4 linked regions of the Pelodiscus sinensis genome follow. The protein of the gene in region 3 purifies or fractionates together with the protein of the main gene of each other region. This does not show direct contact. Links are inferred from orthologs where the notes say so. Each region holds a gene or a part of one and is shown on either strand. Other genes may lie near its edges.

Evidence for each region.
Region 1: the proteins of BCAS2 (region 3) and PRPF19 purify together in Homo sapiens (co-immunoprecipitation; 10 studies listed by BioGRID and IntAct, counting the BioPlex papers as one, with this or other methods). This does not show direct contact. The link is inferred for Pelodiscus sinensis from reciprocal best matches to the Homo sapiens genes BCAS2 and PRPF19.
Region 2: the proteins of BCAS2 (region 3) and PRPF8 purify together in Homo sapiens (affinity purification with mass spectrometry; 3 studies listed by BioGRID and IntAct, with this or other methods). This does not show direct contact. The link is inferred for Pelodiscus sinensis from reciprocal best matches to the Homo sapiens genes BCAS2 and PRPF8.
Region 4: the proteins of BCAS2 (region 3) and CDC5L purify together in Homo sapiens (co-immunoprecipitation; 8 studies listed by BioGRID and IntAct, with this or other methods). This does not show direct contact. The link is inferred for Pelodiscus sinensis from reciprocal best matches to the Homo sapiens genes BCAS2 and CDC5L.

The regions. Positions count from the first base shown.
Region 1 is NC_134714.1:125,215,414-125,223,066, forward strand, and holds the start of PRPF19 (pre-mRNA-processing factor 19), read right to left. Parts: upstream 3,010-7,653; 5' UTR 2,809-3,009; coding exon 2,790-2,808; intron 1,599-2,789; coding exon 1,449-1,598; intron 476-1,448; coding exon 399-475; intron 179-398; coding exon 37-178; intron 1-36. Other genes in the region: voltage-gated monoatomic cation channel TMEM109, read left to right, coding at 4,064-4,145, 4,464-4,720. UniProt on the Homo sapiens protein: Ubiquitin-protein ligase which is a core component of several complexes mainly involved pre-mRNA splicing and DNA repair. Required for pre-mRNA splicing as component of the spliceosome.
Region 2 is NC_134731.1:1,006,093-1,013,944, reverse strand, and holds the start of PRPF8 (pre-mRNA-processing-splicing factor 8), read right to left. Parts: upstream 3,008-7,852; 5' UTR 2,855-3,007; intron 1,995-2,854; 5' UTR 1,984-1,994; coding exon 1,884-1,983; intron 1,097-1,883; coding exon 928-1,096; intron 1-927. UniProt on the Homo sapiens protein: Plays a role in pre-mRNA splicing as core component of precatalytic, catalytic and postcatalytic spliceosomal complexes, both of the predominant U2-type spliceosome and the minor U12-type spliceosome.
Region 3 is NC_134737.1:737,776-745,782, reverse strand, and holds the start of BCAS2 (pre-mRNA-splicing factor SPF27), read right to left. Parts: upstream 3,009-8,007; 5' UTR 2,930-3,008; coding exon 2,837-2,929; intron 1-2,836. Other genes in the region: DENND2C (DENN domain-containing protein 2C), read right to left, coding at 5,270-5,301, 5,781-5,867, 6,809-7,048, 7,785-7,890. UniProt on the Homo sapiens protein: Required for pre-mRNA splicing as component of the activated spliceosome. Component of the PRP19-CDC5L complex that forms an integral part of the spliceosome and is required for activating pre-mRNA splicing.
Region 4 is NC_134713.1:10,746,229-10,753,425, reverse strand, and holds the start of CDC5L (cell division cycle 5-like protein), read right to left. Parts: upstream 3,010-7,197; 5' UTR 2,793-3,009; coding exon 2,748-2,792; intron 1-2,747.

The sequences.
Region 1 (7,653 bases), on a different chromosome or scaffold from region 3:
GCCTTGTCCTCAATCAGTGCCATCTCCCCGACTTACCTTCTCTGGCAGCAGTGACCTCTTTGGTGAGACGGGCGATGACGCGGCAGGCAGCGTCGTGCTGGTACAGAGCGTGCGACAGCTCCTGGCGGGTGGTCTGCAGCTGCTGGCGGAGTGTGAAGCTGTGCAGCATGACGGCATCCTGGGGGAGGAGCCGCACGGTGAGGGAGCCCACCAGAACTCAATGCTCTGTCCACCCCAGCTCAGCAAGCTCTGCCTACCTGGGTAAGTAGAGTGGGGGACTCCTCCCACCCAACCTCTGCGAGCAAAAAAGGCAGCCCACCTCCCCAGCCAATCAGAAGAGAACCTGTTCTCTCCATTGCCCCAACACCCACCCCATCTCTCCCCACGAGGGCACTTACCCACTCATCCTGAAGGGCTTTCAGAATGGCCGGGATGCTGGTGGCCGAAGGTGGTTTGGGCCGGATCGGGTGGGCAACTGTGAATGGGGCACGTGGACCTGTTAGCCTCAGCAGTGAGGATTAATCTCCTTTCCTGTCTCTTGCCTCTCTACTTCTTCTCCACCCTCAAACACATCCATTCACCCATCCCTTTATCCAGATCCATGTGCACCCTTACTTGATCCTCTGCTTTAAGCCTACGTGAGCCACTTGTGGAAGAGACCCATTAGACAATGAGGATGTTAATGTATCTCTGACGTGAGCATCCTGGATCCTACCATGCCAATCAGGCTAGTGGCTCAGCCAATGCAGTAGCCTGCCAACGACAAGGTTCAGCAGAGCCCCCAAATCCCCAAGATACATCTCTTGTGACAGCGTGAATTGCCCAGAGGAGAACAGAAATCCCCAAGCAGCTGACTCTATTTAACAAGTCCTCTCAGAGGCTGCTGGGAGTGGGAGGAATCTGGGCCTATACCAGCCAAACCCAGATCATTCCAACAAGAGAGAAGAGGAAAAGGCAGCATTCAAAAGGGCTGAAGGCAGAAAGGGGCCAGAGGAGAGCCAAAGTCTTTGACGGATGAAAATATGAAGAGTTTGAGGCACCAAGTTGGCCTACTTCCCCAGGAATTTTTAGACTTTGCCTGAGAGGTAAGAGGACACTAGGGACATGCTAAAGATTTTGGATGTAGATGATTAAACTCAATACTGATTTGCCCCTTTTATAAGGATTCCTACATTCTCTTGGTGTCTTTTCTTCCCCAACACTTTTGCGGAAAAGCGTCCGTGCCAATCTAGACGCTCTTTTCCGCAAATGCTTTTAACAGAAAACTAGACGTAGCCTTTCTGTAATGATCATATCTTCCTGGCCCACCAGGCAATTGCTTGGTGAGCAGTGGAAGCTAAGGCTTAGTCAGAAGGCCAAGTGATGGTAGTGATGATCCACCCAACTTCCTACAGCTGGTGAGACTCGACCATGTCACACCTCTAAATCTTCTCCCCACCGCTTGATACCTTTGATATCTATCAGCTGCTCTTCAGACAGTGGCTGGTTGTTCACTGGGTCAGTCCCATTTTCTGCAATGTACTTTTCAATCAATCTTCGCTCATAGACATGGTTTGAGACTGGCGATACACAAGGGTGCTCTGGCACCTCATTTGAGACTGCAAAAAATAAAAAGATTGCAGTGGTGACAAGTGGACAAACAAAAGAACCTAGGTCCTTACACAAACCCCTTGCTTACCAGAAGACAGAGAAGCTCCAAGACAAAGGTAACGGACACAGACCAATCTTTCCTACAGCCTCTACATGTATAGCACTGTTACCATGCCTTCCCTGTTTATATGTAAGCTATTGTCATCATCCTCATTTATCTTTATTGATTCAAGCTTCTGTGCACCATCTTTCTGTCCAAGGTCTGTTTTCTAATAACGTAGTTAGTCCCTGAATGACACACACATGCCTTTCAACAAGTAGCTAGGTCTCCCTCCGGGCAGATCAGGCAGTTAATGATGAATCTAACCTAACTATGAATTCCATGGCTCTTCATCTGTGCTGTTATATGTAATCTCTAGCATAAGCTGCAAAAGCTTGACTTGCTTTATACATCACAAGCTGTCAGATGTGCACAGACCAGCAGTACCTACATTTGTACAGGGCAAAAAATGTGAGACACACTCAGAAGTGTAACTGTCACGGTTTATGTGCCTAAGGGGAAGGAGCTACCATGGAAAGCTCTCTGAGCTCGTTTCCACGGGAACTGGTAGGATCAGCAGCACTGAAAACCGTACATGCAGATTTTCATCCAGATATCTTAAGTCCCTCCCTCGTGCACCTTTATTTAGTTCTCAGCACCGTGGCAGAGCGGCTCAGGTGCCCAACTACAAGCCTAAAAGGTGCAGGTTCAAGCTGCACTTGACTCCCCCCCCCCCCCGCCCCGCACGAAAGACCACTTCCAATTCACCCCGCTGCAAAATGGGTATCGGGTGAGGCCGGCCATCGCCGCCTGGCTGTGACACCCCCGGCCTGGCCCCGGCCCACCAGCCCGGTGAGCCGGGAGGAGGGGGGGGGGCTTGTCTGTGCTTCAGCCTGCCCAGCCCAGGCGCTGCGCCTCCCGGGACACGGGCCGGGCAGCCGCGGCCTTGCAGGGGCGGACTCAGGTGCAGACTCGGGCGCCGAGGGGCTCGGCACGAACCGGGATCGGGGCCCCCAGGGGACACCCAGCGGGGGGGGGGGGGGGTCTGCAGTCTCCTCCTGGGTCCGCTGCAGAGACACCGGGCCCGCGGGGAGGATCGGTCACCGGGGGGCGACTCAAGCCCGGCCCCTCCCCCCGCGGCCCCCGGCCCGTCACTCACTCGAGCAGATCAGGGACATGGCGGCGTCTCCTTAAGGGTCCCGGTTCTGCTTCCGGGTCACGGGCCCCGTTTCCGGGAAGGAGAAGGGGGGCGGGGGGGAGAGAGAGAGTTTGCGTCCCGACCGAGACCGGCCTCGCGCCGCGTCCACTCGCTCACGCGGGGCCCCAGAGAAGCGCGGCAGACTCCACAGCCCCGCCCCCGCCGGAAACGGAACTCTTCTCCGCATGCTCCGGGCAGGCGCAGCTCGGCAACTTCCGGCTGCCGCTCGGGCATTTCCGGAGGGGGCGAGGTGGTTGGAACTGCCACTCCCGGCATGCCGCGCTTCGTTCCTAGAATGCACTGGGTGCCGCCCAGGGCTGAAACTCCCACAATGCTCTGCGCGGGGACACACTCACACACCTCTATGACTACAATTCCCAGCGGCCCCCGCGCCAGGTGCTAGATTTGAATTGCGCGCCCAGCGTTCTGGCCAGCAGCTGGGCAGAGCTGCCCCCACCCCCACCCCCAGGGTGAGCTGCGGTGCTGGGGCCTGGCAGCCAGGGTGAGGTGCCCAGCCTGGAGCATCCCCCCTGCGCCCCACAGCAGCTTCCCAGAGGCTTTGTGGGCTGCGCCGTGGCAGCCACGGCCAAGGCGCCTGGTTCTGGGGTGGCAGGAGGGGGCAGCCGCTGTGCTGCCAGGGGAGCTTGGCTTCTGGGCTGCCCTCGCCGCTGGCCCCTGGGCTTTGCAGCACGCTGCTCTGCGGGCCCTTGGCAGCAGGCCGGGAGCAAGCCCAGGGCCGAGTTTCCGTGACTCTTCCCAAAGATGGCGAGGAGTCCTGTGGCATGCGTGCATGGGACGAAGTGGGTCTTTGCCCACGAAAGCTTATGCTCCAACGCTTCGGTGAGTCTATAAGGTGCCACAGGACTCCTCGCCGCTTCTGCAGATTCAGACTCACACGGCTACCTCATCTAATACTTGTTCCCAAAGATGGCATTTCTGGCGCTTGCCTCAGCGCTGCCCCTGAAGCACAGAGAGACTCTCCTTTCCCATCAGCAGGCTTGCAGCACCCAGCTGTTCTTTCAGTCTCGCCCAAGCACTGTCAGCTCGCTCTGCCAGAGCTGTGTGTGATGTGATCACTGCCTAAGATGGGTGCAGGTTTGACCTTTGACCTCATTTCCACATGCTATGAGTGCCTGGGGGTCCAGAAGGGTGGGGCTTGGGTGTTGAATTTCTCCCTCTGACTGGCTTGATGCCCTGTCTGTCTGCATAACCACAGCTCACTCACTGGCTGAAACATGAGTCATCCTTTCCAGGAGGCTAGGCAGTTTACAGGGGAGTGTGGGGGGGAGGGAAGCCTGGGGAGAGGTCAGGAAGCCGGTAAGTGGGTATTGGTAAGTGGCTGATTCTCAACTAAAAGGCGAGATCACAGTTACCCTGGTGTCGCTGGGATGTTGTTTGCCTGCTTGACATTCCTGACATTGCGGTGCTGGCCTGGGGCCAACAGAAACACAGGGATTCTATAACTTTGTTAAGTATCAGAGGGGTAGCTGTGTTAGTCTCAATCTGCAAAAGTGGCAAGGAGTCCTATGGCACCTTATAGACTAACCAAAGTGTTGGGAGCATAAGCTTTTGTGGGCAAAGACCCACTTCGTTATGCTCTGTGCCTTTAGTCATCTTTCTCTTTTCCGTTGGCAGAGACTCCTGGGGCAGAGAGGAGAGCCAGAGAAATGACTGGGCGGGATCTTAAGTCCTCATGCTGCCGCCAAGCCCTGCTCCGACTAGCCATGGCTCTCCTGATGTCAATCGCTTTCCTTCATGTGGCTGGGGCCAGCACTCATGGCGAAACCTGGAAAGCAGCCGTCCATTCTGACTTCCTGTCCCAGCTGGCTCAGGGCTTGAGGGAGACTCTGGAGGAGTGGATTGGCCAGGATGCACTTCAACTCGTGACAGAGGTAAGGCTGGAATCCTAGCTGAATCAGGAAAGAAGGGGGGCTGTATTTATTTGTGTGGGGTGCTTGACTGACTGCTCTCTGGGATCAATTGAAATAACTTTGAGCATTGTCAGAGCTGTCATAAGAGGCGAATGTAGGAAGGCAGCATAGTCTAGTGGGTAGAGCAGCCACTGGCACTCAGGAGACCAGGTTTCTCTTCCCAGCTGGACTGGGTGATCTTGAGCAAGGATCCCCCCGTGCCTGTTTCCCCATTTGTAAAATGAGGCAAATGATACTGGGAAGTGTTGTGAGATCTAGTGATGGCAGGTGATTAGATAATACTATCGCCACCACTTAGCTCTTTTTTATTACATACTTTAGGCAAAATAAGTGGCACATGGAGGTATGAATCACTGCTCAGGTTGCACTCCCTGTCTATATCTGCCCTGGGCTGGGGAAGCTAATGACCCAAGCAGCGGACCAAATTCAGTGATGAATCCTAGTCTCGTGCCACCTGCGGCATGATGTGCATACACTGAGAAGAAGGCTAGTACAAGCTGAACCTCTCTAGTCTGGCACTCTCTAGTCCAGCAACATCCGTGGTCTGGCATGATTTTAGTTAGCTGGATGTCCAGTTCTCATGGGTGTGGCCACGTTTCCTGCAGTCCCATAAAGTTTGTTTACAGCCACCAGTTCTGGCTCTCAATGTTCTGTGCTGTTCAGCTCTAATTTACCCCTAAATATCTTCTAGGAGCCCAGTAAGCAGTGGAAGTGCTGGTAATGCCACTAAACAATATTGACCTTCTCTGGTCACCAGTCAGCTCCCAAGGGTCCCAGACTAGAGAGGTTGAACCTGTATAATCCATTTCCAGTGCAGCCTGTATTGGTCAAACCTAGCTTACCCATTTCTAGAAGCTTGGTATTTCTCCCTCTTCCCCTCCCCTCCCAACCCCTGGGATTTCTGACCAGGGAAGTTTAGTTCAACTCAGCCAGCTGCTCTGCCAGTAGGCAATATGTGTGCCAGAGTCTTGGTTCTGCCATTAGAGACATAAGTTCTATTCCTAGCTCTTCTGGCAGCAGCTCCTTGCAACCTCTTGCTTATCCGATCAGTCGAGTGACAGCTGCTTCCCAAGGTTGGGGGTGGGTGAGACTTTGCTTTATTAAGGGCTGATAAGTGCCCAGAAAGGATAAGAGCATAAGGATGGTCCCACAGTTAGGATATTGGTCTGAGGCCCAGGGATCGGGATTGAATTCCCTGCTCTGCCCCAGCTTTCACTTGGTGACCTTTGTCAAGTCCTGTAGCCTCTCTGTGTATCAGCTCCCCAGTTATCAAAGGGGGACAACAGTCCAGCCCTGTTTGGGCTGTGAGGATAAATACACTGAAGGTTGCAAGGAGCTCAGATACTATGGTAAAGGGGGTTGCAAAAGCACGTTAGACAGAAGGAGCTTCCTTTTTTTCTTTCCTTCTGGGGTGATGGAGCCAGCTGGCTGGTTCAGTAGCACTTCAGAGCATAAGATCTTATCAAGTGAGTGTGATATCAACATCCGGACCAACTTGTGCATTGGAGGGACTGGCACACTGACACCAGTGGAACTTTGAAACAGGATGCGCTGGCATCTGATTAGCTGAAGGTTTGGCATATATTTCCTAAATACTTGTGTCTCACAGGGTATGGCTACACTGGTGGGGGGGGGTGCATTTCAGAAGAGATACACAAATAGCACTCGCATTTGCATACCTTCTTCAGGTTTTTTCCTTGGAAGAGGCTTTTCTGCTATTTGGCTCCGTCTACACCTCTTCTGAAAAAAAACCCTCTTTTGGAAGCCCCCGTAAGCCTCATTTTATGAGGAAGAAGGGGGCTTTTGAAAAAGGGGGAGGAGGGTTCCGACTTTTGGCCACATGTAGATGGGGCCAAATGGCGGAAAAGCCTCTTTCGGGGGGAAAAAGGCTAGCACTATTTGCATACTTCTTCCGAAACCCCTCCCACAGTTTAGCCGTACCCTGTGAGATACAAGTATTTAGGAAATATGTTATCTTGGATTCAGGAGCCACAGGTAGCCTGTTTGCTCTGGGCTGGATTGCAATCAGCTGGATATAGTTGTATGGGTTATTTTTGGTTTTTCAACTGGATGTTTTTAATTTATTTAGATCAGTTTCTTTATTTTTTTTAAAAAATCTGGTTAAAATCCTGAATTTCAAACTATATTAAGACCCACATGTCATCTCTTAGAACATTTAAATGAAAAATCAAGTTGCTGTAGCCCTGAGCCTCTCGCGAAAATGTGTTAATGACGGCTTTCCTAGATAAAGAATAAGGGGTAAAATTCTCACTTGAAATCATGCTTTCTACATGTGGCAGAACAGGTCATGTCATGTATTAAGGGGGGGCGGGAGACACAGGCTGTGCTACTAGGAGCAAGAATCTGATCTAGTCATATGGGTGTTGAGATCATCTGGCCTCTGATTCTGAGCCACTGCCATGTGCCTTCGCACTAGGGAACAAACAGATGTACCAAATGTAGTGTCGAGGCTCTATGTAGTTATAAATCAGCATGTTCGAAGGGTAGCTCAACCAAGAAGAACACGCTTCTGTTCTTTAGAAAATAACTGTACTACAAGTGGAACTGTTAATTAAAACTGATTTAAAACCGTGGCTTTCCACTTGATGATCCAAATTACTGATGTAAATTGGCTTGATATAAATCAGTCCACCCTAATTGCAGCCATGCTGAGCTTGGCACCAGGCCCAGGGGATGGTGGGAAAGGGGACCCCGCACCACCTGTGTGGTTTTCCTGGGAGGGGACTATTTCAGGCCCTAGTGAAGTTAGAGCAGTTTCAGGGGCTGCCCAAGGCCCCAAGAGGCTGCCCTCGCAGTCAGGAACAGCCAAAGCCTTGTGGCACTTCCCCAAGAAAGACCATAGCACTGTACCTACACTGGGAGCTGCTGGTGTA
Region 2 (7,852 bases), on a different chromosome or scaffold from region 3:
CCAGCCACTGACCAATCTCCACCGGTCAGCCCCGCTCCCCCGACGACCCTCCCCCACCAGTCCTGCTGCCCCCGTCCAGCCCTGCTTCTGGCACCTGATTCTCCCATCCTCCTCCTCCTGATCTCCCCCGGGCAGCTCTCCCTCCTCCCATGCAGTCCTGGTTCCGCCGCCTGCCCTCTCCGATAGCCGCCGGCGGACAGCCCCGCTACCCCCAACCCTGCTTCTGCCTCCCACCTGCCCGCCGCCCCCCCAATCTCTGCGGGACAGCCCCACTCCCCCAACCCTGCTTCCGCCCACCGCCCGCCCACATACCCAGATCTCCACGGGACAGCCCCGCGCCCCCAACCCTGCTTCTGCCTCCCACCTGCCCGCCGCCCCCCCACATCCACAGAAATTCATCTTGTGAATTTCTAGGGACTCTGCATATGGCCAGGAATGAGCAATGAACTTGATTTTGAAATGCAAATAAATGCTTCTCTTGCATTTGGATCACCCAATCACTGTGCAACAGGCATCTCTTCTGAACTCCTTCAAGCCTTTTATTTAAAAGAAAAAAAAAGATCGATGCTTCTGCACAATAGCCTTTACCTGATAATTCAAGCACAACCTCGGCTCCATTCCACCCTACTTATTTCTGTTCCACTGCTCACAGTCCATCTCACAGTCCATCTCCATAGCATTTTACAAGAGCTCACAGTATAGAATTTTCTTCTATGCACAGAGTTTAAAGTAACTGAAATCTCTCTAGGGGAGGTTTTGGATCTCTCGGTGATCTCTACAGGCCAGTGCATATCTGTGGCATTGGTGTAGTGCAGCGTGCTGCTTACAATTCCATCGTCCAGGAATGGAATACCTGTAACCATATATGCCCTACCCAGAGCCCTCCTTGCCCTGGACATGGATTAGAATGCTCATTGCTCTCCTTACCCCAAATAAACTCGTTTGTCATGACGAAACTTCCTGTTAGTCATGTCACCATGGTCCCGGATAATCTTCCTCACATGTTCTGGGGGCATGTCCTCCTTCTGGGCATCCACAAAACCAAACTTCCTCTTCTCAGCATACCGCTTTGCCTGCAGCTGCTGCCATTTGCGGGCTACACAAACAAGAACACACACAGTCCAGTCCAACCAGAGCACCATCATAAAAGAGACTCCAAATCAACATGAGCCCAAAATTACATGGATAGTGAATGTACAGAGCTCTACTAGTAATGCAAAAAGTATTTTGAACAGGGTACAAATCTTTATGCATCAGAGTTTATACCATCTCTAACCCCACCAGGGAGCAGGAAAAGGCACTCTCACACCTGCCTACAGTTGGCCTCTTGCACCGTGCTCTGAGTTATGTAGTGCTGGAGACAGGACACTGGCCCAGAAGGACCCCTGCTGTTATCCAGTCAGGCAGTTCTCTATTCCTGTGCAACCACCACCTTTGCATTCACATTCTCCTCCGATTCTCCCAATGATGCCTGGCGTATCGCACTGGCAAGAGCAAAGAGTTGCAAGAATCATAGACTAACAGCTGTGATTATAATTGCTATGTTGTTTACTCTGAACAGAGTTTTACTGCTAAAATACATGCAACTGACAGCAGTCTGCTTAGGGCAGTCTCACAGGTTGCAACAGAATAGTGAGAAAAACCCAGCAAAACAAAGTAGGGCAAATGCTCATGCACCATAAATCAAATGAACTGAACAGCTTAGTGAGCAGAATACGATGTCTGACATAACACAACCAAAGGACACAGAATTCACTGTGGGGCACAGAGCCTGCCTGGCCTTTGCCTAGCTGTTGCATGGACCTGGGACCTCTCTGTCACCGCTTCCAGGAGTGCATAACCCACAAACCCTGTCTGGGACACATTTCAATAAGCTCTTGCACCTTTCTCCTGCAGCTTCTCTTCAGACATGTAGTCGGGCAGTGGAGCCAAGGGACTGGGCACTGGGGCACAGCCCCCGCGGTAGGGAAACACTCCAGCCATGGAGAGGCAGGCTAAGAACCAAGGGGAGGAAGGAAGAGCAGGCTCAGGTTAGTCAATGCCCGCCACAGAGCGGAAACACACCCAACGTCACAGCCCTCTTCTCCCGCCCCCCGCCGCCACCAGCGACCCCCACACACCCCGCCCCCTCCTCCCGACCCCCCCGCACACCCCGCTCCCTACACCCCGACCCCCCCGCCCCTCCTCCCGACCCCCCCGCACACCCCGCTCCCTACACCCCGCCCCCCGCCCCCTCCTCCCGACCCCCCCGCACACCCCGCCCCCTCCTCCCGACCCCCCCGCACACCCCGCTCCCTACACCCCGCCCCCCCGCACACCCCGCTCCCTACACCCCGACCCCCCCGCCCCTCCTCCCGACCCCCCCGCACACCCCGCTCCCTACACCCCGACCCCCCCGCCCCTCCTCCCGACCCCCCCGCACACCCCGCTCTCTACACCCCGACCCCCCCGCACACCCCGCTCCCTACACCCTGACCCCCCCGCCCCCTCCTCCCGACCCCCTCGCACACCCCGCTCCCTACACCCTGACCCCCCCGCCCCCTCCTCCCGACCCCCTCGCACACCCCGCTCCCTACACCCCGACCCCCCGCCCCTCCTCCCGACCCCCCCGCACACCCCGCTCTCTACACCCCGACCCCCCCCGCACACCCCGCTCCCTACACCCTGACCCCCCCGCCCCCTCCTCCCGACCCCCCCGCACACCCCGCTCCCTACACCCTGACCCCCCCGCCCCCTCCTCCCGCCCCCCCCGCACGCCCCGCCCCCTCCTTCCGACCCCCCCGCACACCCCGCTCCCTACACCCCGACCCCCCCGCACACCCCGCTCCCCACACCCCGCCCCCTCCCCCCGCACCTGTCTCCGCTCAGGCCCCTCGTGCCTCGCCCCGCGGCCTCCCGCTTCCCACCCGCAATGGCGGCCCCCGAGCGTCGCTGCAGCGCTCCAAGGACCCGGATGGGCTGAGGGGGCGGGGCCAGTGGGCGCTCTGACCATTCAGCTCTCGGGCTGGTGACAGGTGGGCTCTCCAGCCTATGAGCATCCGCGACCGGCTAGGAGGCGGGTCCGGCCAGCGGAAAGGGCGGGGCTTGCTAGGTCAGGCGCGCGGGTTTTCTTCCGGTCGGAGACCCTCCCACAGCTCGTGTGGAGCCACGCCCCCTGCAGGCCACGCCCCCATGCGTGGCTGGCCGCTGTTGCCCCTGGACCCTAACGATGGCGCCAGTGGGCTGCGGGCCCTGCCCTGGGCTGGTGGAGGCTCCCAGCAGGCACCAGAGCCGGGCCGCTGCCGCCATCCCTGGGCAGGGGCGGGCGCAGCCGGAGCCGCTCAGCCCAGGCGCCATCTGCCCGCCCCCGGCAGCCGCCCAACGGCCCATTTACTGCACCAGCTGCTGCCTGGCCGGCCGGGCCCCACCGCAGCCCCCGTGCCCGTCGGGCCTGGCCTCCCGCGGCTGCGCTCTGCTTTGTCCTCGCCTGCCGCCCTTCGCACGTGGCACTGACCTGCTGCTCTGAGCGGGACGGCCGGGCCGCACCCGAGAGCCAAGGCCTGGGCATGCCAGGGCCAGCGGCGCATTCAGAAGCTCTGCGGGGTCGGGTCGGGTGGGCGGTGCCTTTCTTAAGGGTTCATCGCACATGCACAGGTTCACCCGACTCCTGCACCCCGTAGGGGCACGGACAGACTCCGCCAGCCAGTAGAACAGGGGGAGTTTATCGCTTCTCCAAGGATGCAGCACAGCACAGATGGAATCAGGTTACAGGGCAGGCCTAGGATGCCTCAGCCCCCTTGAGATGGGGGTGACTGGGCCCCTAATTCCCAGGCCCTTGCTTAGGCTGCTTCCTCCATCATGCCAGACAGAAACTGACCCTCTTCCAGCCTTGCCCCCCAGACAGGGGTAGGTCTCCGCCTTCCTCCCTTTGTCTCTCTCCCTGGGAGGGGACCTGTCGGACAGGTTGGGAGACCCTTGCCTAGTGACTCATCCGCTGTCCTGTTGGGCCGTGCTACAAATAGCCGCCAGTGGAGGTCACCCACTGCCCAAGCCCAGCAACCAGCAAGGCCCCCCCCCCCCCCGTACCACACTGGGTTGTAGAGCAGACAGCACCCCCACTACGTCACAATCACCTTCTCAGCTTTGACTGTCACTGGGCCTGAGCACCTGCTCTCAGAGAATTGGCCACCAGGATGCCAAGATCTTTTTTTTGAGTGGTAGCAGCAGCTAATTTAGACCCCATCATTTCCTATGTCAGGGTTACTCACCTTTGGAAGCCCTGTGGGCCATAATGATACTCATAGCACCATAGGCATGCGCACGGGGTGTACCAGCTGTGCCCAGGCACACCCTAATGTCTTGGGCCAGCTAGCAGCTGCTGAAGGAGGAGGGGGACTTGAGCTGGGGAGCCGCAGCCCCTAACTTTCCCTGCGGCCATCTATGGGGCACTTTAGGGCAGAGAGAGCATGTGCGCAGAGGACTACAGACCACCCCTGTCCTTCCAGCCCCGTCCTCGGCCAGCCCGGCAGCACTGTGCAGCACCCCTCCTGCGCCCCGGGTCCCAGACACGGCCCCACCCAGCCAGGCAGCACTGCATGGCGCCCCTTAAAGTGAGGCACCCAGGGCTAGGGCCTGGCTGGCCTGTAGCTGGGGCCGGCTCTGACTCCAGCCCCACAAACTGGAAGACAGAAGCCAGCTTAGCCAAAGGTAAGGTAAGATAAGGGAGAGGAGGGGAAGGGGGAAAATTAGGGGGCAGAGGTGAGAGAGGAAGGGGCTTGTGCTGAGAGGAGGGGGGCAGGTCAAGAGAAGAAAGGGGAAGGCACCAAGGGACAGGGTAGAGGAGAGACAAATGCCAGGGGGCCAAGTGCAGACAATGAGGAAAAGGGCAGGAGGGGAGGTGTTAGTGGGAAAGGAGACAGGGTGATGCTGGGAGAGGAGAGGGTAAGGGCTTTGGGGGTTAGAGGGAGGAGGGGGAGGTGCTGGGAAAAGGCATGAAAGAAGGGGTGGGTATGAGGCAGGGATAGAGCAAGACGTGTGAGGGCACAGGGGCATGAGGAGAATGGGGGCAGAGGGTGGTGAGGGGTTGAGTATTAGGGGCAAAGGGGGCAGGGGCAGTAAGGGAAGGGGAGGCACCAGGAGGGTGCAGGGCTAAGGGAAGGTGCAGGTGCCAGGGGATTCTGGGGTGAAGCAGAAGGGCAGACACCTGCAGGGGAGGGACCAGCACCAGAGGAGAGAGGCAGGGCAGGTGTAGAGGGAGGTGTTAGGAGAGGTGATGAGGACGGGTAGCTCTAGGGTTACCAGGTGTCCGGTATTGTACCAGACAGTCCGGTATTTGCACGCTCTGTCCAGTAAAAAAAATGAGAAAATACCAGACACGTGCAACGTGCGGTATTTTCTGATTTTTCCGGCTGCGCACCGGACAGAAGCCTGGCGTGTGCGGGGGAGAGCGGCTGGGAGGCGGGGCCGCGATTGCCACCAGGAGCCCTCAGTCGGTTGAGTGTGAGGAGGAGGGGGAGCCTCCTCCTCACTCGTGAGTCGCCAGGAGCCTGCGCGGGACAGGCAGCAAGTGCCCAGGTCAGTCCTGCTCCCCGCCGACCAATTTGCTCACCCCCCCCTTCTCAGCTGGCTGTTTCTCCCTCACTTCCCCTCCTGATCTTCCCCGACCAGCCCCCCTGCACCCTCCCCAGCTCTGCTTCCCGCCGTCCCGTTCCTCTTCCTGATCTCCCCCAGCCAGGGCCGCTGCACTGCCCCCCCGCCAGCTCTGCTTCCTGCCCCCCTTTCTCCCAGCCACCCTCACGGCCCCTGATCCCCCCAGCTGTGCTTCCCGCCCCCCCTTACTTGCAGCCATCCCTGCCCCCTCCCAGCCGGTCCCCCCTCCCCTGATATTCTGCGTCCAGCCCCGTTCCACCCGGCCCCCCTCCCCACAACCAGCCCTGCTTCCTGTTGGCCCCCCCATCTCCTCCGGCCAGCCCTGTTGCCCCACCATTAGCTGTTTCCAGGCCCCCCCATCTCCTCCCCTCCCCGGCCAGCACCACTCCCTTCCTAGCCAGTCCTCCTCCCCCTCACCCCCCCCCCCCGAAGCATATCCGGATTTTTGGGTTTTTTTTAAATGAGTACCTGGTAACCCCTAGCAGTGATCCAGGTCCTTGGAGTCTATTTTTTTTTCCACTCAACAACTTTGGTGTCCCCCCTTTTTTTTCCTTCAACAAAATTTTTCCCCGTCTTTTTTTTTGGGGGGGGGGGTTCAGTATTTTTTTTTCAGCCATCTGGCAACCCTAGGTAGCTCACATGAGTAGAGTGGGGCTACTGGAGGAGTGGGCACAGGGGGGAGAGAAGGACTGGTGGAGGGGGGCAGGTTGCAGGAAGGCTGAGGGCAGTGAGAAGGGCAGGAGTCAGGACAGCAGAGGGAGCAGCAGGCACCAGGGGAGCTGATGGAGCAAGGGGAGCCACGGCAGCAGAGGGAAAAGGTAAAGGGTTATAAGATATTTATTAATAACTTGGGTGGCACATTGAAACAAGCCACATGAACTCAGTACTGGTGCACAACACAAAATTCATTCTGCTCATGGGAGGAAACTTTTAGAGGGACACTTCCCCCAGCCTCTCTGCTCCCGAATTAATGTCACACACATTGGGGTAATGCAATTGCAGGATAGTTGCATACAGGGGTGGATGAGAGTGCTGTGGGGCCCAGGGCAGTGCCGCGGGGCCCAGGGCAGTGCCGCAGGGCCCCGGGCAGCAAAATTTCACGGCCCCCCCCTTTGACACAGCGCATGCGCCGTGGTGCCAAGGTGCATGCGCGGGGCCTCGGGAAGTGCGGGGCTCAGGGCAGCCGCCCCGCTCGCCCTGCCCTAAATCCGCCGCTGGTTGCATAAGGGGAGCTTGGTGGGGGCCAAATTAATTCCTGTTGGTAGGAGGATGGTGGAAAAAGTCCTTGGGGGGGTCACATGACACCTTTTACTTCTGGTCATGTGTCACCTCCGGAGGTGTGGCCAATAGGGGTCAGGGGCGTGGCTAATGGGGATCAAAGTACATTTAAAAAAAATTCTCTGGGTGCACATCCCAATGAAATGTGCTGTGCATGCATATGCAGCTCACGTGTGGTTGCAGATATATGCAGACAGCTTCTTTCGCACTGACAGGCATGAACACAAAGATGAAGGCAACACTACACAACACGCAGGCCCCATTTCAGTCAGTTCTGCTGATATTAATAAAATGCAACATTCCCCCATTTCCGCCCTTACAACAGCACTTGGAATGAGCAATGACAGTCTAGGAATGTAACTACTAAAACGCATCTCAACAGAAGACCGTTATATTGACGACTTTTTTGTTTTGGCTCCCACCTGCGGGCTGTGAGAGCCCCACGTAAACCCAGACTGCACCACGGGCCGCAAACAAACAGGCCACATGCGGTTCACAGGCTGCATGAGTAGCCCTGGCCTATGTAAGGGAAGTCAGGGCCCATAGAGACACTTAGACACCCCCCAACTGCAGCTACCCCCTTCTCATTGGTTTGCACTGATGAGCTCATTGTGGGAACAAACCAGAGAGGAAACCCAGCCCTGAGGCTCATCCCCATGCACAGGAAGCCTGGATGAATCAGTCTCCTACTTCACTGAGTAGCCCAGAGAGAAGTTAACCCCCCGCCCTGTTATTTCCCTCCTACAGTCTAGCAGCTGCTTGGAGAGCAGAGGAGTCCTGGCCCCCCCAGGAAAGGCAGGGTGCTGCAGACCGGGGCCCCAAGACTCTTCGAGGTAGATGTAACGCAGCCTGTTGTAATACCAAAGCCCGGAGGTAACAAGCAAGGTAGAGGTAGGAGGGGAGGGGATAAAACCCCCACCCAGTCTCAGGTGCTTTTTCTGGATGC
Region 3 (8,007 bases):
ACGGGGACAGCCCCCCCCCCGACACACACACACACACACACACGGGGACAGCCCCCCCCAACACACACACACACACACACACACACGGGGACAGCCCCCCCCCGACACACACACACACACACACACACACGGGGACAGCCCCCCCCGACACACACACACACACACACACACACGGGGACAGCCCCCCCGACACACACACACACACACACACACGGGGACAGCCCCCCCCCGACACACACACACACACACACACGGGGACAGCCCCCCCCCCGACACACACACACACACACACACGGGGACAGCCCCCCCCCCGACACACACACACACACACACACGGGGACAGCCCCCCCCCCGACACACACACACACACACACACGGGGACAGCCCCCCCCGACACACACACACACACACGGGGACAGCCCCCCCCGACACACACACACACACACACGGGGACAGCCCCCCCCGACACACACACACACACACACACGGGGACAGCCCCCCCCCCGACACACACACACACACACACACGGGGACAGCCCCCCCCCCGACACACACACACACACACACACACACGGGGACAGCCCCCCCCCCGACACACACACACACACACACACACACGGGGACAGCCCCCCCCCGACACACACACACACACACACACACACGGGGACAGCCCCCCCCCGACACACACACACACACGGGGACAGCCCCCCCCCGACACACACACACACACACACACACACACACACACACACACACACACGGGAACAGCCCCCCCCCGACACACACACACACACACACGGGGACAGCCCCCCCCCCGACACACACACACACACACACGGGGACAGCCCCCCCCCGACACACACACACACACACACGGGGACAGCCCCCCCCCCGACACACACACACACACACACACACACACGGGGACAGCCCCCCCCGACACACACACACACACACACACGGGGACAGCCCCCCCCGACACACACACACACACACACACGGGGACAGCCCCCCCCCGACACACACACACACACACACACACACGGGGACAGCCTCCCCCCCGACACACACACACACGGGGACAGCCCCCCCCCGACACACACACACACACACACGGGGACAGCCCCCCCCGACACACACACACACACACACGGGGACAGCCCCCCCCGACACACACACACACACAGGGACAGCCCCCCCCCGACACACACACACACACAGGGACAGCCCCCCCCCGACACACACACACACACACACACGGGGACAGCCCCCCCCGACACACACACACACACACACACGGGGACAGCCCCCCCCCGACACACACACACACACACACACGGGGACAGCCCCCCCCCGACACACACACACACACACACACGGGGACAGCCCCCCCCCGACACACACACACACACACACGGGGACAGCCCCCCCCGACACACACACACACACACACACGGGGACAGCCCCCCCCCGACACACACACACACACACACACACACACACACGGGGACAGCCCCCCCCCGACACACACACACACACGGGGACAGCCCCCCCCCGACACACACACACACACACACACACACGGGGACAGCCCCCCCCCGACACACACACACACACACACACACACACACACGGGGACAGCCCCCCCCCGACACACACACACACACACACGGGGACAGCCCCCCCCGACACACACACACACACACACGGGGACAGCCCCCCCCGACACACACACACACACACACGGGGACAGCCCCCCCCGACACACACACACACACACGGGGACAGCCCCCCCGACACACACACACACACACACGGGGACAGCCCCCCCCCGACACACACACACACACACACACACACACACGGGGACAGCCCCCCCGACACACACACACACACACACACACACGGGGACAGCCCCCACCCCGACACACACACACACACACACGGGGACAGGCCCCCCCCGACACACACACACACACACACACGGGGACAGCCCCCCCCGACACACACACACACACACGGGGACAGCCCCCCCCCGACACACACACACACACACGGGGACAGCCCCCCCCGACACACACACACACACACACACGGGGACAGCCCCCCCCGACACACACACACACACACACACGGGGACAGCCCCCCCCCGACACACACACACACACACACACACGGGGACAGCCCCCCCCGACACACACACACACACACACACGGGGACAGCCCCCCCCCGACACACACACACACACACACGGGGACAGCCCCCCCCCGACACACACACACACACACACACACACGGGGACAGCCCCCCCCGACACACACACACACACACACACACGGGGACAGCCCCCCCCGACACACACACACACACACACACACGGGGACAGCCCCCCCCGACACACACACACACACACACACACACACGGGGACAGCCCCCCCCGACACACACACACACACACACACACACACGGGGACAGCCCCCCCCCGACACACACACACACACACGGGGACAGCCCCCCCCGACACACACACACACGGGGACAGCCCCCCCCGACACACACACACACACACGGGGACAGCCCCCCCCGACACACACACACACACACACACACGGGGACAGCCCCCCCCCGACACACACACACACACACACACACACGGGGACAGCCCCCCCCCCGACACACACACACACACACGGGGACAGCCCCCCCCCGACACACACACACACACACACACGGGGACAGCCCCCCCCCGACACACACACACACACACACGGGGACAGCCCCCCCCGACACACACACACACGACCCGGCCCAGCGCTCTCTCCCCCCCCACTCACCGCCTCCCGCACGCCCGGCGCCTCGTAGCCTTGGTCGAAGTAGGGCAGCGCGTCCACCGCCACCTCGCCGGCCACCAGCCCCGGGCCCGACATGGCAGCAGTGAGAGCGACCGCGCGCTCCGCTCCGCTGCGCCTGCGCCGTGACCCCGACGCCCCTGCCCTCAGCGCGCCTGCGCCCCGGTCCGCTTGCCTTTTGTGCGCAGGCGCAGAGACCCGCGCGCTATGGCTGCGTAGGGTGCACGCGCCACCTGGATCCCCCTCAGCCCGCCCCTCCCCGCCCATTGGCCCTGGCGCGCGGCGTCTCCTTAGAGACCGGGGGGATGGGCCCTGCGCCCCTCCCTGGCTTGGCCTGAGCGTGCGGCGGGGGCTGCAGCCGGAGCCGTTAACCGCCAGCTCCGCTTCGTCCCAGCGCGCGGGGCCGGTCCCGCCCGAGGCAGAGCGGGGGGCGCCAAGCCCGCGTCAGCCCCCCCCCCCCCCCCCCCCGGGTTCGGGGTCCCGCGCCCCGCCGCTCCCGGGAGACGTTGAGGGGCCTGCGCCCCCTTCAGCCAGAGCGCGGGGCAGGGGCTGGGCGGCCGCTCCGGGCGGGACCTCCTGGGCCAGAGCAGCCATGGGCTCAGGAATCAGGGCCTCGTGCGCCGGAGCCATGCGCCGCCCGCTCCTGGAGAAGCCCGGCTGCCCCAGGGGGCACAGGCACCAGGAGTATCTTACACAAGAAAGCCCAGGGGCTGAAATGGCCATCAGAGCGTTCTTGCACAAGAGAGCGTCTGCACTGGCGTGGACACCTCGTGCACCACGGCACAGGCACCTGCAAACACTCTTACGCAAATACTTGAACACAAAAACTCTTAAAAGTATTTACGCAAAATCATACCCCTGTAGACATGGACAAACTGCTATTGGGAATATAAGCCCCTTCCAAGTGTTGTTCTATACAAGGAACTGAGCTCCACTGGGGACTTTTCAAACTCATGTATGAATTCTGTATGTCAACACTGTATACAACTAGTACGTGCTACGTTAGGTTGGAGCACTAAGAAGACTTTTCATTTCACTACAGCAGTCATTGTCATTACACAGGATTCAGTCAGAGTCCATCAGTGCCACGTAAACAACTGTTTATGAGAAAGTGCTATCAGAAACCAGCCTCCAGCTGCACTGTCAGGCCAACAGACTTGTTTAAGTAATTCACTAACTACAATAAAGGAACATCAATAGATTTGAATAAATAACTGGCATTAATCTATTATACAAACCCAGGCAGGTATTAACTATTTTCAAACCATCACAGGACTCAATTGCCATAACCTACTAACGTTATTCTTCCCCAACACTGAATGCTGAGGAATCTACATTTTTCAACAGCAAAGAACTAGAATAGCTGCGTTTTGGTATCTTATCCAACTTAACTTTCTTGCTGTACCAAGGCACTTAAGGAAAAAAGGATTTTTATATCCTTCTGAAAATCTGGCTCAGCACCTGCAGCAATATGCATCCTTGAGATACTGTCCTCTCATTTGCAGTAATTCAACATTAAATTAATTGCTTTTAATACCAAAATTTAAAGAATGAATGTGGCTCCCTCTGTGACGATGCCATTTTATCCCAAGAGAATTACAGTTCTAATTTGTGGAAGTCACCCAGCCCAAATTTACAGCAGGTAAGTGTATGTGATAAGGTAAAGGATAAGCCTGTTCCATATGTCAGCATAAAGGGCGAGGTGCTCTGGGCACTGTAAAATCAGAATATAGGACAAGTTAGAAAATAAGCTGACATTTCCATTTGGTTTAAAAAATGTAAAGCTTTGTGATAAACTGGAACTTTGTTTACACTAAATGAAAAGCTATTTCTGATCTCAGATCAGCCAAGAACATGGCTCCATGCTATCAAAACCATATACCATGTGTATGAAAGTGCACTCCAAGGAGAGAGGGCATAAGGCAAGCCAGAGCAGTCTTTTCAGCTTCTGAAGCAACTCCTTGAACAGGTTCTTAGTGCCAGAATTTGCACAGCCTGTTGCTTGGATCCAGCATGGCCCACAGACCCATTGTAGGATCACATTAGTTTCTTCCTTAAATGCTGATTTGGATTTAACCAAACAGAAAAGTTTTCCTAAAAAATGGCTCATCAAGCCAAGCAGCAAAAATATGGAGTCTGAAGTTTCACAACGAAAAAGCTCCCCTTTTAAATTCCCCATTGATGAGGAGAATGTGTTAAGCATCTCCAGCATGAAGTTCTTCATCTGCATCCATTTCCAGTTTGCCTCTGCAATGCTCCAGTGAAAGCAGGTATAGGATGGATTGTACTTCTTTTCCATTTTCTCCCACTATTTGAGCTTTCCATGGACTGAGCTGTATCTCAGTGAGTAGGTCTGACAATTTGGACAGCAGCATTTGTATGCAAAACTCCTCTTCATCAGTGTTTCAGCACCTGTTTTCACTTTCTGTGAAGAAATTTCATTTTGCTTCCTACCAAGAAAAGGAAACATCTAATTAGAACACTAATTAGACTCCAGAATCAAAGAAGTTAATTGAATAATATCTCTTGTTTCAAAGACAAGCCATTTTGACCAACAAAACAGTTTGTGATGGAAATTAATTAAGGCTCTTCAATTCATTCTCAGCCAATGCAAGATTGTTCCCAAAATCTTCATCTAGCCCTATTTTATGTCTTCAGGGACAGCGCTACCACCATTTGTTTTAGCCAAAGACTTCTCAATATGCATATTGAGAAGTACCATTACTGGCACGGGGTAGAATTGTAAATAAATGAATTGCAGCTCATTTTGAATATTCTGGGGTATTAACAGCACCCAAGAAAAGTAAATATGACTATGCAAGGTAGAAAATGTGCTTCCCCCTTCTGGCTAAACTCCACCTTGTTCAGTGGACACTTTTATACACAGGCTCAACAACTGACCCGACCAACGGCAAAACCAAACATTTACCCAGACTGCGAAGAATTTTGTTCATCCCGCTTGGTTCTGTCTCTGGAATAGTCTCCAAATACCCCAAGGCACGGACCTCAAACAGGCCTAAGGAAGAAAATCGTTTAGCCACCTGAGCTGCAATATGCAAAGAAATGGAACAAGCCACACCATTGATAACAAAAAGCATAATTTATTAGAGCTCCCATGAGGCTGGCACATACTCTTGCTAATGTAATGTACTTAAGAGCTACAGCAGGGCTACTCAACATACAATCCATGGGCTGCATGTGGCCTGCAGCCTGTTTGTTTGTGGCCCATTGTGCGGTTTGGGTTTACACGGGGCTCAACACAGGTGGGAGCCAAAACACAAAATAGTCAATATAATAGTCTTCTGTTGATATTAATAAAATGCAATATCAACCCGATTTCCACCCATATGACAGCACTTTTAATGAACAATGACAGTCCAGGAATGTAACTACTAAAACGCATGTCAATAGAACTGACTTAAATGGGGCCTGCATGTTGTGTAGTCTTGCCTTCATCTTTGTATACATACATGGTCAGTGTGAAAAGCTATTTACATAAATTTGCATATATATTTGGATGTATATGCAACCACACTTAAGTTGCAGCCCTCGTGACGTGCTGTAAGTATCATTGCGGCCCCCAGGGCTTCCAAAGTTGAGTAGCCCTGAGCTACAGGATCAAACCCTAAAGGAGTTTCTGCTTTCCATTTGAGAAAAGTTGGTTTAGTGAAGATAATTTCTTTTGGAAAATGCAAAGGGATAAAAGGTACCAGCACCTTTCAGACCCCAGTAAGTCCTGCATTATATAGGCCAAAATGCCATGGCATGCATAGAGCAGTTCCTGGATTCTTACTATGATTAGGGTCCCTTGGTCTCTTCTGAACCAGCTTCAATATTATTTTAAAACCTTAGGTGGATCCTTTTGAGGTCACTTAGAAATGAATATATCACATTGTAGACAAAGTTGACTTCTGTACCACAAAAGTAAGATGAAGCAGCTGGAATAGCAGGTCTCACCTTTGACCCCACTCTTACGGAGTTCCCGGTCCTGTATGAATCCTGCAAACATCTGTGTTTCCATGAACAGGTCTAGGAAATGGCGCACATTACGGGAGGTGTGTGACTTTCGAAATGGCTCTCGCTGGAACACCCGCTCTCCTTTCTCTGTGACATTCATGTGCAAGGAGTAATGTCCTACAATCTCCACAAAGAACTGTACAAAAGCTTCAGAGACCAGGGAGTTCAAAGTTACATCACCTACCAGGGAAAGGACAAAAGTCTATTTCACATTGCAGTAGTCAGAGTGTGATACTTCTGGGAGAGTATCGCCTTTGCTTCTCCAAAAAGTCCTGGCTGAATAGGACTGGGTGGCTCAGACTGAACAACAGAGTTTCATATTGTACAGTATGCGGACTAATCTTCCCATATTGATAGCTAATAGACCACACTGGCAAGGGAAAGATCCAATAGATGTAGTATCTTCATTCCAGTATTGTGTGATGGTGGTAAATAGAAATTGCAAAATTGGTATTTTAACTTAATGTGAATGATTGCTTAGTACAGACCTGCAGATGTACTTTCCTGGAATGATTCATTATTTTGTAAAGTGCTTTTGAGATGAGCAAGTTTAAAAGCTATTGTATAAAACTCCAATTCAGCACATGTCATACTACACTGAAGTACAGAAATTCTAATTTCTAATTAACGAAGAGGATTGATTAAATGTGCATTGATTAAAAGGATTACACAAACTCAAATATACTGCTAAGAGAACCTCTGTCTCATGTGGATCGGGCAAAATTAGGGCATTGCATTTCTCATTCTGCCTTTTTCTATAACCCACTCAAATAGTAAAGCTTCTCTCAGTGAGTCACATGGAAATAGCTTGCTAATATATGGCACCAGTCACTTTCCACCATCTACATGTGTTTTTGTGTTGACCAGAGCAAATCTCTCAGGCTTCCATATAGTGCAAACACTTTGATACAATCACCTTGTGTGTACACCTGCTCCTGGGATAAAATTTCATTTCGTTCCTCCAAAATCTGTACAAGTGCAGCCTGGAGTTTATGAGGTAGGATCTCATCCTCGTCTGATACCTAAACAAACAGAGATGGCTTGCATGGAATGTGTATTGCATCTTACATCAATATCAACAGTCCATGTCGAACAGAGAAAGGGATGCTGGGTGCATGCTAGTTCCAGTGAGATCAGAG
Region 4 (7,197 bases), on a different chromosome or scaffold from region 3:
CTCTGCAGCATAAGCTTATAAGCCTTATACTGCAGAGCCCACAGCACAGCTGGCTCCCCGGGAATGGGGCTAGCAGCTGGAGTAAGAGGCAGTGCTCACTGGGAGTGGTTTACACACCCAATGGCCCCAGCTCTTAGCTGCTGGCCCCACTCCTAGGGAGCCTGCTGCTGCCTTGTGCTGCAGGCTCTGATACTTCAGAGCCCACAGCTTGGAGCAGCAGCCGGCTCCCCGGGAGAAGGCCAACAGCTGGGAGCCAGCAGGCACTGGGAGTTGACTTGCTGACTGTGCTGAGGGCTCTGCAGTATAAGCCTTATACCACAGAACACATAGCACAAGGCTTACATACCTAGTGTACGTAAATCTTCAGTAACAGTGTAGTCAATTAACCAATTAAGCAATAAGCAAAAGTTTATAGGTTAATGCTATAGACTACATGCATTTCCCACTGCTACCTAGTACAATTTTTAGGAGGCTGGCCAGTAGCCTGTCTCAGTCCTGGCTTGCACCGAGTCTGGGACCTATCCCCGCTGTGGCTCTGCATTTAAAGTGTATTAGGAAGTAAGCAGGCAGGAGCTCAGACCTACCCTTCACCCAAGACAGGAGCTGCTGCCACTCCTGTATAAGAAGCAGCATCATAGCGTGACAGGCAGTCAGTCCATGAGGGGAGGTGGTTTTTAAACTGGCTCCCTTCGCAGACCAGCTTCTGCCTGGCCCTGAGCACTGCTGCCTCTGTATCAGAGGCAGCAACATGGAGTGGCAGGGTGATCCTCAGGAGTGGGGCTGGATTACACTGGCTGCTGGCCCTGCCCCTGGGGACTATAGAATAGTCGAGTAATCGATGAGAATTCATAAGTTACTCGACTATTCAACTAACTGACATTTAACATCCCTACTTCAGACTGCATTGTGACTAACTTGAAGCTCTGAAATTTGGACTGAGATATGTCAAGGGAATGTTTAGCTCTTTCTAAAAAATTAAAAAGTCTTCTCTGCATAATAATATAGTGAGAGAGGGGAGTATGATAAGACACCATTTGCTATAAGTTAGCATCACAAGTAACATTGCTATGATGTAAAAATAATCACTGGCAATTTTCCCATGACCATCATTTAGCTACACATGTTTACTGTGAACCAGTCACCACAGATGATAGCAGCCCTCAGAGGTGATGGGTCTTTAGGTCACCATCCCCTGAGAAGATAAAGATGAAGAGGAGAGAGTATCTTTGGATGTCTGAGAAGATAGGAGAATACAAGTCTTGCCTAATAGAGGGAATTGTTTGTGCTTGTTAGGTCAGGATATGATCAAACTTTAGTTATGTAAAGGATCAAATATTTGCTTTGTCAGAAATGCTTCTTACCATAGGAGTGCAAGCTATACTTAGCCTCACCCTCCCTCATAGGAAGCAGGTAAAGCAGACTGCAGACAGGAACACTTTTCAGCACACAGGGACCCATGTGGCTCTGGCCAACTGTCCACGTTGCAGTGAACAGCAGCCTGCAAGCGAGAACAACTCCCAGCGCGCACGACCCGTGGGGATACGAGCCACCTACTTATGCTGCACACTGGAGACACCAGGCTGCAGAAGAACCAGTTCCAACAGGTCCCTGCCCATTCATGCACACAGGGACCACTACCAGCACACAGGCACTCATATGGATCTAAGACCCCTGGTTATGCTGCACACTGTGAACCTCAGCCTACAGCAGAACCAGCTCCTGTACACAGGGCCTGTACAGATCTGTGCTCCTTGTTGATGCTATGGGGGAGGGAGGGCAGACTACATATGGGACAGCTCCCAACACACAAAAGGCTGATGTGGATTTGGGTTCTCTGCCCATGCTACATACTAGGGACCCTAGACTGCAGTGAGAACAGCTCTCCACACACAGAATACTAAATACTCTAAATACTGAGAGCCCCAGACTAGAGAGGGGACAGCTCCCCGCACACAGGGCCCATGAGGATCAGAGCCCCTGCCCATGCCACACACTAGGGGCCCCACGCTGCAGAGGGGGCAGCTCCCCGCACACAGGGCCCATGAGGATCAGAGCCCCTGCCCATGCCACACACTAGGGGCCCCATGCTGCAGAGGGGGCAGCTCCCCGCACACAGGGCCCATGAGGATCAGAGCCCCTGCCCATGCCACACACTAGGGGCCCCATGCTGCAGAGGGGGCAGCTCCCCGCACACAGGGCCCATGAGGATCAGAGCCCCTGCCCATGCCACACACTAGGGGCCCCACGCTGCAGAGGGAGCAGCTCCCCGCACACAGGGCCCATGAGGATCAGAGCCCCTGCCCATGCCACACACTAGGGGCCCCACGCTGCAGAGGGGGCAGCTCCCCGCACACAGGGCCCATGAGGATCAGAGCCCCTGCCCATGCCACACACTAGGGGCCCCATGCTGCAGAGGGGGCAGCTCCCCGCACACAGGGCCCATGAGGATCAGAGCCCCTGCCCATGCCACACACTAGGGGCCCCACGCTGCAGAGGGGGCAGCTCCCCGCACACAGGGCCCATGAGGATCCGAGCCCCGCCCCCTGGGGCCCGCGAATGCTGAGCTAGGGGGGGAGGGGCGGTAGAGAACCCCAGGCGCATAAAAGTAGTTCAGACTATGCCGACAACACGCTCCGCGCATGCGCACAACCCCCATCCACCCCATTTCAGCGCATGCGCGCCACTGCCCCTTCTCGCTGCGGAGCGGCGTCTCAGCGGCTAGGCCCGCGGCGGGAAGCGGCCCCTACCTCGGTGTTTCGCCACACGCCCCCTTTGATCATAATCCGCGGCATCTTGGCGGCGGAGGCGAGCGGGCTCCAGAAGAAAAGAGTCGGCGGAGGCGCGGTAGAGACACCCCTCTTCGCGCTACGGCCGGTTGAGATCCTGCGCAGGCGCCGTGGGGGCGAGGGCGGAGGGAATGTGTCAAAACTCCGAGCCGACGGGCCGTTAGCTCGTGGCTCGAAGCTGCACGCAGGCGCGTTGAGAGGGCACGCGGCGCCCGCTAGTGGGCGGATGACAAACGCTGCGCGTGCGCAGCTCCTGTGAAGGACGAGGGAGGGGGAGACGGAATAGCTGGCACAGGCCGGGGGAGAATTGTCACAGCGCCACCTGGTGCCTGGAGGTGCTGCGGGCACAGAACCCCGCCGGCTGGTGCAAGCTGCCGACACTAGGGGCTGGAAAAGGGACGCGGCGGAGGCGGGTAGGAGGGAGTGGGGCTGGGGCTGATCCCGCACGTGGGAGCCTCGTGGGACGGTGGGCGCAGGAGGGGGAGTGTGTGGGTTTATAAAGCAAAGTGAGGCTGTCCAGGGGAGTGTTTCTTGGGACGGGGGGAGGGTTGGGGAGTTGTCCTTCTGTCTGACTTTGCAGGGGTGGTCTTTTGGGACTGCGGTGGGGGAGCAGTCCGTCTGTGCAAGGGGGGGTCCCTTAGGATGAGGGGGTGGGAAGCTGTCTGTCCGTCTGTGCAAGGGGGGGTGTCCCTTAGGATGAGGGGGTGGGAAGCTGTCTGTCCGTCTGTGCAAGGGGCGGCGGATCCCTTAGGATGAGGGTGGGAAGCTGTCTGTCCGTCTGTGCAACGAGGGGGTGTCTCTTAGGATGAGGGGGTGGGAAGCTGTCTGTCCTTCTGTGCAACGAGGGGGTGTCTCTTAGGATGAGGGGGTGGGAAGCTGTCCATCTGTGCAATGGGGGGGTCCCCTAGGATGAGGGGCTGGGAAGCTGTCTGTCCGTCTGTGCAACGGACGGGGGGCCCTTCGGATGAGGGGGTGGGAAGCTGTCCATCTGTGCAACAGGGGGGTCCCCTAGGATGAGGGAGTGGTAAGCTTTCTGTCCATCTGTGCAAGGGGGGGATGTCCCTTAGGATGAGGGGGTGGAAGCTGTCTGTCTGTCTGTGCAAGGGGGGTATCTCTTGGGAGGGTGGGTGGAAAGCTGTCTGTCTATCATCTGTGTATATTGTGTCTCTTCAGGAGGGGAGCCTGTGCAGGTGAGATCTCCGGATCTGTCTGCGGTTCAGTGGCTCTTGGGGGGGGGAAGTTGTCTGTGATGGTGGGTACCTCTTGGGCTGGGGGAAGGGAGCTGTTCATCTCTCTGTGGAGGTGGGTGTCTCCTGGGGCTAGGAGCTGTTTGTGCAGGTGGGCGTCTCTCAGGATAGGGTGGTGAGGAGCTGTCTGAAGGTGAGGCAGTGCTTTGGGGTGGGGAGCTGTCTGTGGAGGCAGAACTATGCTTTGGTATGGCAGTGTGTGGAAGTGAAGTGCCTGTCTGTAAAGAAAGTGTCCCTTGGGTTGAAGTGGGATGCATGTGTGCATTGCTGAGATTGCCCTAGGCTGGTTTCCCATTCCACATTGCGTTTGCAGAGCTGGTAGTCAAGGAAGCCACCTTTTCCTTACAAAGGGAGCCTTAGACAAGCACTTCCATAGAGACAATGAGTAGTCCTGTGGCACCTTACAGACTGACAAATATATATATAGTATTGCGAGCTTTAGTTGACAAAACCCACTTCTTCAGATGAGTGAGTTTTGCCTACGAAAACTCATGATACTATATATATTTTTGTTAATCGATAAGGTGCCACAGGACTACTCATTTTTAAAGTTACAGACCAACACAACGACCCCTCTGAGATGTCCATAGAAGAGAGCCACATCAGAAATCTGAACTGGAGCATTCTGTAGAGGTTTCAGAGGGCATCTGGGAGAAGATGATACTCTATTAATTCAAAATATGGATCTTCTTCCAGACCCTGCGGCAGTCTTCACTATCAGTGGCTCATTCAACAGCCAATACAAAAAGCAGGGGTCATACCACAATCTTAAGTCAATTTGGGACAAGAATGACTTTTACACATTTTTACTGCTTTAAAAATGTTTTCTTCTCCCTCGTTGCTGTATGAAAGATCCACACAGAGGAAACAGACTATCTGTACCCAACTGCTGTCAAATACACCAATTAAACTGGAAAAATAAAGGAAATATTTTTCTTTCATGTGCATTAATTAAACTTGCATTAAATGTAATTATAGATTTAACAAAGTATTATTGTGCCTCTAATTTTACAATACAGGTACATGGTAAAGTTTGGTTGATATAGTGACATCCATGCTCACCTGAAGCCAGATTTAAGGTGTTTGAATTTTTACATTTTAAGCATTTGGACCTTTTCCTAACTTGGTCCTTTCATCACAACACACAGCTATATGTATTACACTGGTTAAGCTCTAAGAAGGCTGCACCTATACATTTTTTCACAACTACGCAGCAGTAATAGAGGAAAAACAAACAGCTGACGCAAGTACAGTAGTACCACTAAGAGAAACAGGAACTGTAATCCAGTTAAGGTTGCTCTTCTTCCCTTTTCTAGCATCTCCAGACCCAACACTGTGTAGGGGAGACCTCCTGTCTGGTGCACCAGAGCCTATGCAGTCCCATACTTCTCAACCATGTGAGTTACGACAAAAGGAAGTGCTGGCAGGAGCCAGCTAGAAACTCAACCAGGAAGAGCAAAGGAAAACAGCTGCAGCAGCAACCTGTAGATGTCAGCAACTTCTTGCTGGTTTTTACAGCATTTACACTGCAGTACTTGCCTCTGTAATGGCAGTCTATTGGCTTCTGCTTCCCTATTCCTGCTCATTTACTCCATCTTCATTCTCAGCTCCCATTATTTCTTCTCCTCCTTAAATGTCAATTTTTTACCTTTTTTAGCCAATCTGCTTTCAACAACATAACTCCATCCCACTATTAAGAAAAACCTTATTGCTGACATCTCATTGTTTACTAAGATTAGATATTATTCTTTGTCTTGCTTATTTACAGTGTAAACTCTTTAGAGCAGGGCGACTCTTATTCTGCATGTACAATACCTAGCACACTTGTATCTTGTTCCTAATGTGGTCCCTAGGTGCTGCCATATAATTGCCAAATAATTAATATGAGTGTGGTGTATTTAAAACTGTGTAAACTGCCCCTGCCGCAACCATGTCTCCTCTCCTCAGACTACACTTTCACATGTTACCGTGTTTACTGAAGAAGTAAAGGAAGACCCAACTTGTGCAGAAGAAAGTTTTGGTGAAGAAGAGGATGTTCTTTTCTCAAACATGATTCAAACAACATATGTGTCTGACAATAGGTAGAACTCTGGTGGTGTCTTTCCACTGAAACATGAAACCAAGGTTCTGGGTAGTAGTGAGTCATGATGAGTAGTTTGGGGAAGAGTAGGGCTTCATCTTGGACAAATTAAAAATGTGGGTGATTGAGGCTGGCCTATCCCAGATTGTTCCTGAAATTTCATCAGGGTATGATAAACCTCATAGTGTTAAAAAAATAGCACAATGGACACTGGCATCATTGGTGGCTGAGGTATCCACCTGTGTAAAAATTATTTGCTATCCCTCTAATGAAGAAACTGTTCTTTTTGAGCATAAGATATTTCTGCAACTTGCAAGTTCACATGATTACAAATTAGCCAAAGTGTTTTAGCCATTTGGAAACCACCCAGATTTAAGATATACTTGCTTTCCCATGTTATCAGTGGTAGGCCATGTAATCACTCTTTGACTCAGTTTCCCCATCAGTAAAAAGAGTGACCAGATGTCCCATTTTTTAAAGGTCTGTCCTGTATTTATGCCCTCCTACAGTTGTCTTGACCTTTTCTTAAAAATGGGCAAATTGTTCTGTATTTCGTGTCTCCTTCCCATCAGTTACGGTGGGTCCAGCTGTATGGGCTGGCTGGATCCCTGCTTGCCAGCTACTTACGCAAAAGCAGTGGGAAGGGGTCCAATGGCCAACAATAGAGGTGGGTTTGCAAAGCTGGAGGGCGGGGGGTAGCTTGCTCTCCCAGCTTGTCTGTCAGTGCAGCTCTTGCTGCATGCTGGTTCTCAATCAGCAGAGCCGCATCCCCCATCTAGCTGGCATTGGCTGCAGTAGTTGATGAATGCAGGCAGGTGCCAGAAGGTTCTATTTACATGCTGCCCAGCCCTCACCCACTTCTGGGTCCTGCTTCATTCCCTAGGTGCCCTCCTTTGCAAAGCCACCTCTCTGGCTGGTTTTGCTGAAGCCTCTGCTGCCAGGTTCCTGAGCCCTAGCGCTCAAAGCAGTCTTAGGTCTTAACCCCTTCCTGCCTGCACTGTAGGCAGGGGGCAGGAGGCAGCTGGGTTATGTTGGTGGCAAACAGAAGCCTGAAAGTATTAGCTGCTTTTGACACTATGGGCAG